3 linked regions of the Tribolium castaneum genome follow. The main gene of each other region encodes a partner of the protein of the gene in region 3 in a complex. Links are inferred from orthologs where the notes say so. Each region holds a gene or a part of one and is shown on either strand. Other genes may lie near its edges. The genes, in order: U6 snRNA-associated Sm-like protein LSm6, peptidyl-prolyl cis-trans isomerase H and Prp6.

The links.
Region 1: Prp6 (region 3) and U6 snRNA-associated Sm-like protein LSm6 share a complex: the UniProt entries of both Homo sapiens proteins name them as parts of the U4/U6-U5 tri-snRNP complex. The link is inferred for Tribolium castaneum from reciprocal best matches to the Homo sapiens genes PRPF6 and LSM6.
Region 2: Prp6 (region 3) and peptidyl-prolyl cis-trans isomerase H share a complex: the UniProt entries of both Homo sapiens proteins name them as parts of the U4/U6-U5 tri-snRNP complex. The link is inferred for Tribolium castaneum from reciprocal best matches to the Homo sapiens genes PRPF6 and PPIH.

The regions. Positions count from the first base shown.
Region 1 is NC_087398.1:10,391,118-10,393,462, reverse strand, and holds U6 snRNA-associated Sm-like protein LSm6, read right to left. Parts: upstream 925-2,345; 5' UTR 877-924; coding exon 786-876; intron 733-785; coding exon 584-732; 3' UTR 560-583; downstream 1-559. Other genes in the region: uncharacterized protein LOC100142353, read left to right, coding at 1-559; inosine triphosphate pyrophosphatase, read left to right, coding at 988-1,560. UniProt on the Homo sapiens protein: Plays a role in pre-mRNA splicing as component of the U4/U6-U5 tri-snRNP complex that is involved in spliceosome assembly, and as component of the precatalytic spliceosome (spliceosome B complex).
Region 2 is NC_087395.1:17,966,497-17,969,155, reverse strand, and holds peptidyl-prolyl cis-trans isomerase H, read left to right. Parts: upstream 1-1,298; 5' UTR 1,299-1,377; coding exon 1,378-1,461; intron 1,462-1,507; coding exon 1,508-1,684; intron 1,685-1,729; coding exon 1,730-2,023; 3' UTR 2,024-2,068; downstream 2,069-2,659. Other genes in the region: peptidoglycan-recognition protein 2, read left to right, coding at 513-570, 620-839, 885-1,003, 1,054-1,244; G-patch domain and KOW motifs-containing protein, read left to right, coding at 2,139-2,272, 2,324-2,514, 2,565-2,659. UniProt on the Homo sapiens protein: PPIase that catalyzes the cis-trans isomerization of proline imidic peptide bonds in oligopeptides and may therefore assist protein folding. Participates in pre-mRNA splicing.
Region 3 is NC_087399.1:6,879,885-6,883,356, forward strand, and holds part of Prp6 (pre-mRNA-processing factor 6), read left to right. Parts: intron 1-847; coding exon 848-1,535; intron 1,536-3,472. UniProt on the Homo sapiens protein: Involved in pre-mRNA splicing as component of the U4/U6-U5 tri-snRNP complex, one of the building blocks of the spliceosome.

The sequences.
Region 1 (2,345 bases), on a different chromosome or scaffold from region 3:
CACAGCGAACGCAACTTGTCTCAGATCAGTCGGTTTGTTTCAAGTGGTTCAGGAAAAAATGAATTATTCCAGCGCCGCACGTCGGTGCCAGGATTTGGGGGGCGACCTGGCTGATATTTTGACTGAGGCAAGGACGAACGCACTAGCTGCGTTACTCAAGTCTTTGCCTAACTGGTACAAGGGGGCATACGTTGGCCTTGACGACATTACGGTTGAGGGGAGTTTTGAGACTCCAATGGGGGACTTTTTGCAATGTTCGCGGTTTCGGGCCTGGGCTGTGGGCCACCCAAGACCAGGACGAAGAAAAGAAGACTGTGTCATGTTAGATGTTGAAAAAACGTGGAGGGCACTCAATTGTAAAATTAAATTGGACTTCATCTGTGAATTTTATCCAACTCCTCCGGACAACACATTGAATGAATTTAAATATCAGAACTGTAGTCTCGTTAAAAGTAAGAAAAAGAAACAAGAGTGTGAGACAAATAACGAGTTATTTGAGCTATACAACAGCTCTACGAGAATCGATCAGTGCGCTTTAATGAACGACTTTGAGTTTTGAAACGTTTTTATTACAAAAAATACATTAGATTCTACGTTTTTGTGTACTTATGTAGAGCACATTGTTGCCCCTAATAAACGCATCCCCGAATTTATTTTTGAGTTGTCCGTTGACGTATTCCTCGGTTTGCTCCAACGCTATGTTCATGTAGCCATCGAGACAAGCCAAAACACCTAAAAACCAAATAATAGCCCCCTTCATTGACAAAAAACAAACATAACCTCACCTCTGTAATCTACACCACTATTCAACTTGACCACAACAGGCCTGGCGTGAATTTGTTGAATAAAAGACGAAAGGGCTTCTTTGCGACTCATCCTTATCAGCTTGTGGCTCAAATTTGCTTATTTAACCGCCTCGGCTGACAAAAACCTAACCTCAAATCGGCATGTACATAACCCCACTTCCTGTTTTTTTCACGCAAAACCATGTCGAAACCGCTAACATTCGTCACCGGCAACGCCAAAAAGCTCGAAGAGGTGGTTGCCATCCTCGGCTCGACATTCCCACGCAAAGTGGTGAGTCAAAAAGTGGACCTCCCTGAGCTCCAGGGCGAAATCGCCGATATTTGCGTGAAAAAATGCCAAGCGGCGTACGAAATCATCAAGGGGCCGTGTATCGTCGAAGACACGTGTCTGTGTTTCAACGCATTGGGTGGTTTGCCCGGTCCTTATATTAAGTGGTTCTTGGATAAGTTGGGTCCTGAGGGGCTGTTTCGACTACTGGCTGGGCATGAGGATAAGAGTGCCCAGGCCGTTTGTACTTTTGCATATCATCCGGGCGATGAAGGGGGCAAAGTGATTCTGTTCGAGGGGCGCACGGATGGAGAGATTGTGATGCCGAGGGGGCCGAGGGATTTTGGATGGGATCCGTGTTTCCAGCCAGTGGGGTACACGCAGACGTACGCCGAGATGCCCAAAGAGGAGAAGAATAAAATCTCTCATCGGTACCGCGCCTTGGACGCGCTGAGGAATCATTTTATGAACCAAGAGAAACAATAATGTTTTGTCGTTTTAGTTTTATTTGACTTTAATCAACTTAAATAAATTGTTTTGTTTGATTTGAGTGCTTTTTTGTTACGCTTTTCTTATTTCTCCGGCAGGTTTATAACAAAACAGTCCGGGGGGTAGTACTTTTTAGTACTCAAATGCCATTATTGAAAGGATAGTAATAAAGCGATCAGTAAAAAATTCGATTTTAATCAGTAAAAAATAATAAATCATCAGTATTTAATTCATTTTTGCACAGTAAAAAATTTAAATGACAAGTAAACCACGCACAGTATTTTTTTAAAATTTGCCCAATAAAAAAATCGTATATGCACAGGATCTAGTTTCAGTTTGCACAGTTTAAATAATAAACGCTCAGTAGCTAGCTTGCAGTCTAGGGCTTCGCCCCAGCAAACTAAAAGGAAAAATACTCCTCGAACGATTAAACTCAAAAACGTAAAATTGGAAATGTGAAATTCTACACACTCTAGTTTTGAGATGCTATTATTTACTGTGCATTTATTATTTTTACTGTGCAATTATTATTTTTACAGTCCATTTATTATTTTTAGTGTGCATTTATTATTTTTACTGTGCAGTTATTATTTTTACTGTGCATTTATTATTTTTACTGTGCATTTATTATTTTACTGTGCATTTATTATTTTTAGTGTGCAATTATTATTTTTACTGTGCATTTATTATTTTTAGTGTGCAATTATTATTTTTACTGTGCATTTATTATTTTTACTGTGCATTTATTATTTTTACTGTGCATTTATTATTTTACTGTGCAT
Region 2 (2,659 bases), on a different chromosome or scaffold from region 3:
AAGATATGAAATTCCAGACGGTCAGTGTAGGCAACCTTGAAAGAAGTAAACAACGGACGGGCAGCGCCTCTCAACAAGTTTTGCAAAATTTTAAAAACCAAAATTTTTTTCCCGCACAAACCTTGCGAATTAACTGACTGAGTTGCCCCCCGTATCTAAGTGACTTGATAACTGCGTAACGAAAATTACGTTAAGTTATGATTTAATAAAACATGATAAGAACTGATAGTGATAAGGACGTCTAAGAAGACTGCAAAATCCAGCACAAAAATAAAATTAAATTCGTTGCTCTTGTTTTTATTTAACTTTAGTCACCGTTGGTGAAGTCCCTGATCGGGAATCCCCACAACCCAGAGATAAAAACCATAACAAGAAGATAAAGTCATAGACCCCACAGGTCACCGTATATAAATGCAGAAGTTTATCATCTCGAAGGTTACTCGTGTTGTTCCATTAAAGGACGTGCTAATTAAATAAATAATTTTAATTTTGCATACAAGGCAAAGTTGAATATGGGACGAAAGTTCGTGATTATTTTCTCAATTTTGCACCAAATTCTGGCTCGAACAGGTAAAACCACCGCTCAAACCCCATCCATTGCTAAATGAGGTGTTTCCAGAGTCAAACTTGCCGGCAGTGTGCCCCGAAATCGTGAGTCGCACTAGATGGGGGGCTCGCACTGCTTTGGAAGTGGATTACGCCCTAATCCCTGTCGAAAACGTGGTCGTGCACCACACGGTGACCAACACTTGCAGCACTGAGGAAGAATGTGCGGCGATTTTGCGAAACATTCAGAATTTTCACATGGAAAATCTAGATTTTCACGATATTGGATACAAGTAAATTTGATGATTTTTGTTTTTTTTTTTTTAATTATGGTTTAGTTTTTTAGTGGGTGGTGACGGCCAGATTTACGAGGGCGCAGGTTGGCACAAAGTGGGGGCGCACACACGTGGGTACAACTCCCGGTCTTTGGGGCTCGGTTTCATCGGCAATTACACGAGTAGGTTGTTTTTCGTGTTATTTTCGTACTTTACGAGCCTTTTATTACAGCTCAACTTCCAAATAAAAAGCAGATACAAGCCGCTAAAGATTTTCTCCAATGCGGGGTTGAGTTGGGAGAGTTGGGCAAAAGTTTCAAACTGTTTGGGGCCCGCCAAGTCAGCGCGACGGAAAGTCCGGGCCTAAAGCTGTACCGCGAACTACAGAACTGGCCGCACTTTACCAGGTCCCCGCCGAAATAAACTGTATTCTAGTTTTTAAAATAAAATTATTATAAAGCATACGATTTTGAATTTAAATATGGCGCCCATTAGTCGCAAGTTTGAGGTTATGTTGTTTTGATTATTCGAGGTTAGGGAACTAAAAACCGTAAAAATGCCGAATTGGGACCAAATTCAAGCCCAGTTGAAGCACCCAGCGAACCCGGTCGTGTTTTTCGACATTTCCGTCGGAACTACGGTACCAATAACCCAAAATTTCCGAAAACTGTATTTTTCGATTACAGGAAATCGGCCGAATGATTTTCGAGTTATTCGCAGACGCGGTCCCCAAAACCAGCGATAATTTCCGCCAGTTTTGCACCGGCGAGTTCCGCAAAGACGGCGTGCCGTTGGGCTACAAGGGGGCTAGTTTCCACCGAGTTATCAAGGACTTTATGATCCAAGGGGGCGACTTCGTCAATGTAAAAATCACGGGATGCGATTCCGCAACTAATTAATATTTTTAGGGCGATGGGACCGGCGTTATGAGTATATATGGGGGCGGAACGTTTCCCGACGAAAATTTTAACCTAAGACATGACGGTCCTGGACTTCTATCAATGGCAAACAGCGGCAAAGACACCAACGGTTGCCAGTTTTTCATAACTTGTGCAAAGTGTAATTTCCTGGACGGCAAACATGTGGTGTTTGGACGCGTTATTGACGGACTTCTCGTCATGCGGAAAATCGAAAACGTGCCCACGGGGCCCAACAATAAGCCCAAAATCCCGGTCACAATTGTACAATGTGGCCAAATGTAGTAGTGTAATTCAAATTTTAATAATAAAAGCACAAAATAAAACTTAGTTTAAATTTTTATTTTGTCAGGTTGGTGGTCCCATAACCTCACTTGTCAAAAACGTAAATAATCGTGAAATGGAAAATAAAAAAATATCGTTCGGTTTCAGCAAAATTAGTAAAAAGACCGAAATCAGGTCAAGTGTTCCGAAACCCGAAAATAAGATACAGCTAATTGACTGTTTAGAGGGTCAATCAATTAAAATAAAAGGGTATGTTTCGTTTTTGAGGTTATGTTATTTTTGCCAAAAACCTCATTTTAGTGCCGTTGAGGAGACAAATGAGCCGTTGGTGATACCAATCCAAGGCCCATCAAACAAATTAATAGACCAAATAAAAAAAGCGAGGGAAAAACACGTCAAACCTGAAGTTAAAGAAGAGACAGGGGAGGCAAATTCTGTGCCAGACTCTGCCCTATCTCTTGACGAATTAGCGGCAAGAGAGTTAATCCGAGGTACTTACCCTATGTTTCAAGTGATTTTCTAGTGTGAATAAAATTTTCAGAGGCACAGACTCGCAACACTGTACAAAGCGAGACAAAAGTCTACTCCTTGCCTTTAAATGACGACAAGTTTGTGGCAGAGGGGGCACAGGAGTCG
Region 3 (3,472 bases):
TCATGACAAGTTCTATTTTGAGATTAAAATTGGTCGTAAATGATCTATTGCTTCTTAGAATATTTTTTTTTTGGAGTTTTTTTAATACTTATCAACAGATTTTGTGAATTTTTACAAAATGTAGCAGAATGAAAAAGGTATCTAACGGTCTGACATTTGAATTAATAATTAAATTTCTCTATACATTTTTTTCTTGGCATTTCTCACATACACTGTACACTGTAAAAACTTGAAGAGACACGTCAACAATTCTATGTTTTTTATGGCATACCGGAAACTATCGACTGGACTCTTGTAGAAATTTTTACTTTTTTTATTAGCCAGTATCAATGAATTGTACGAATTCATAAAGATTTTTGCTCCCAAAGCAAATATTTTCCAATGGGCCTCGGGCATAGCAAATTTTGCTCCTGCTAGACGCTTGTAGAACTACTCTTTGATTAATTTTTTTTGATAGGACTGAAATTAACAGTGAATTATGATATTCATCCCAAAATAAAAAAAAATCTGTTCTGATACGACAGTTTTAAAATTAAACCTAAAACCATCCTTGGATTATATAAAATAATTTTATGTTAAGCTGGATTCATTTTTTTCTAAGTGGATTGCTGATAACTTAACAAAAAGATGAAAAAAATTTTGTGAACTTCCACACAGTTGTAGCTATTAAAGATGTTAAAAATTATAAAAGGAACATGTTTCGTTGGTAACTATCATTTTCAGACGTGTTTACATTGAAAAAGAGATGAATAAAAAAGAAATTAAAAAAGTAAAAATTAACTAAGTTACATAAAATATTTTTTAAAGTTTTTTTCTATCACTTTGGTTAAAAGAATTTTCTTGTTAGGCCAAAAATCCAGCAACAGTTCTCCGACTTGAAACGCGACCTGCAGAACGTCTCCGACGACGAATGGCGGAGCGTCCCAGACGTGGGGGACGCCCGTAACCGGAAACAGCGCAATCCCCGAGCCGAAAAATTCATCCCTTTGCCCGACAGCGTCCTAGCCCGGAACCTGGGGGGCGAATCCAACACCACCATTGACCCCAGTTCGGGGCTAGCAAGCATGGTTCCGGGTGTTGCCACCCCCGGAATGCTCACCCCGACCGGAGACATGGACTTGCGAAAAATCGGACAAGCCCGCAACACTCTCATGAATGTTAAGTTGTCGCAAGTGTCCGATTCGGTGACTGGACAAACAGTTGTGGACCCGAAAGGGTATTTGACCGATTTGCAATCAATGATTCCCACCTACGGTGGGGATATTAATGATATTAAGAAGGCGAGATTGTTGCTTAAATCGGTGAGGGAGACGAATCCGAATCATCCTCCGGCGTGGATTGCTAGTGCCAGGCTGGAGGAAGTTACGGGGAAGGTGCAAGCGGCGAGGAATTTGATTATGAAAGGGTGTGAGGTTAATCCACAAAGTGAGGATTTGTGGCTGGAGGCGGCCAGGATTAATCCCCAGGATACGGCCAAGGCGGTGATTGCGCAGGCGGCCAGGCATATTCCAACGTCGGTACGGATCTGGATCAAGGTATGAGAAATACAAGTCTTTTGTTATTGATTTTTTATTATGTTTTTTTCTTCCCATTATTTTGTTTATTATGCTTAAAAATAAAAATACTCTGTCAATTGTTTAATTAAAATTAAATTTAAAATTTTTGTAGTGTTTACATTTTTTTTATTCATCACGAGAATATCATTTTAAAAGTACGTAACCAATAATAATAATATTATGGGACCTATTACTAGAAATAAAAGTTTTTTTTTACCTGTCTTTTTTCATCGTCACTATTTTGTTTATTAAGGTTTGGTCATCTTATTTTATAGAGAGTGAAATTGCTGTGGATTTTTTTTTGAATTTGAATGAAATTAACTTAAAAATAAAATTAATAGTCAGTCAAGAGAATTTTTAAACAAAAATTTAAGATTTTTAAAAGTACGTAACCAATAATAATAATATTATGGGATCTATTACTAGAAATAAAAGTCTTTTTTTACCTGTCTTTTTTTATCATCATTATTTTGTTTATTATGGTTTGGTTATCTTATTTTATACAGAGTGAAATTGCTGTGGATTTTTTTTTAAATTTGAATGAAATTAACTTAAAAATAAAATTAATAGTCAGTCAAGAGAATTTTTAAACAAAAATTTAAGATTTTTAAAAGTACGTAACCAATAATAATAATATTATGGGATCTATTACTAGAAATAAAAGTCTTTTTTTACCTGTCTTTTTTTATCGTCATTATTTTGTTTATTATGGTTTGGTCATCTTATTTTATACAGAGTGAAATTGCTGTGGATTTTTTTTTTTAATTTGAGTGAAATTAACTTAAAAATAAAATTAATAGTCAGTCAAGAGAATTTTTATACAAAAATTTAAGATTTTTGTAGTGTTTACATTTTTTTATTCACCACGAGAATAGCATTTTAAAAGTACGTAACCAATAATAATAATATTAGGGACCTATTACTAGAAATAAAAGTCTTTTTTACCTGTCTTTTTTTATCGTCATTATTTTGTTTATTATGGTTTGGTCATCTTATTTTATACAGAGTGAAATTGCTGTGGTTTTTTTTTTTAATTTGAATGAAATTAACAAAAAAATAAAATTAATAGTCAGTCATGAGAATTTTTAAACAAAAATTTAAGATTTTTGTAGTGTTCATATTTTTTTTAAATTAGTGAATTTATTAGTAGTTATTAATATAGCATTTTTAAAGTACTTACCCATTAACTATTGCGTCTATTTTATCGAAAATTCAATCATTGCACATATTTTATTAAGTGCGGTTTTGTAAGACATTTGTTTCATTAGATTTCTTCAAGATTTAGTAGGAGTTTCAACTTTATACTCAGACATGTGCAGTTTTATTTATGACAAGCTTTGAGGAAAGTTTTTATTTGTTTTATGATTCTTGACTATAAGCAAGTTTTAAGCTTTTTTTGCATCTATAATGGCTCTAATATTTTTTGGACCATAAAAATCTAAGTTGTCAAAATCAAACACGCTTAAAAGCGAAAATTAAAATACACTTAAGTCGAAAAATCACTTAATTACGTCGACAGTTAACTTATTTTGTGAAATTTAGTTCATAAATGTTGTTATTTTTATGTATTTTGTATTTGTTTTAAGAGTGAAAATTAAGTAGGATAATACTTAATAATTAATTTATTATTTGGTTTTATGATTTTTCCCCTCATTATTTTGTTTATTATTTTTTTGTTAAATGTAAATGAGACTGAAGACAATTTTTTAAACAAAAATTGACCGTTTCTGTAGTTTTTTATTTTTTTAAATTCACCACAAAAATTCTTGTTTGAATATTTTGATGTGAAAAATATTTTAAAATCGAAAAATTAATAAAAATAAACTTTTTTGTATTTTATTTTTTTGTTTCTGAGTTAAGATTATGTAATGACATAAGTTTGGCGTCTTGTTTTTGAGTAAAAAACTTACTTATTT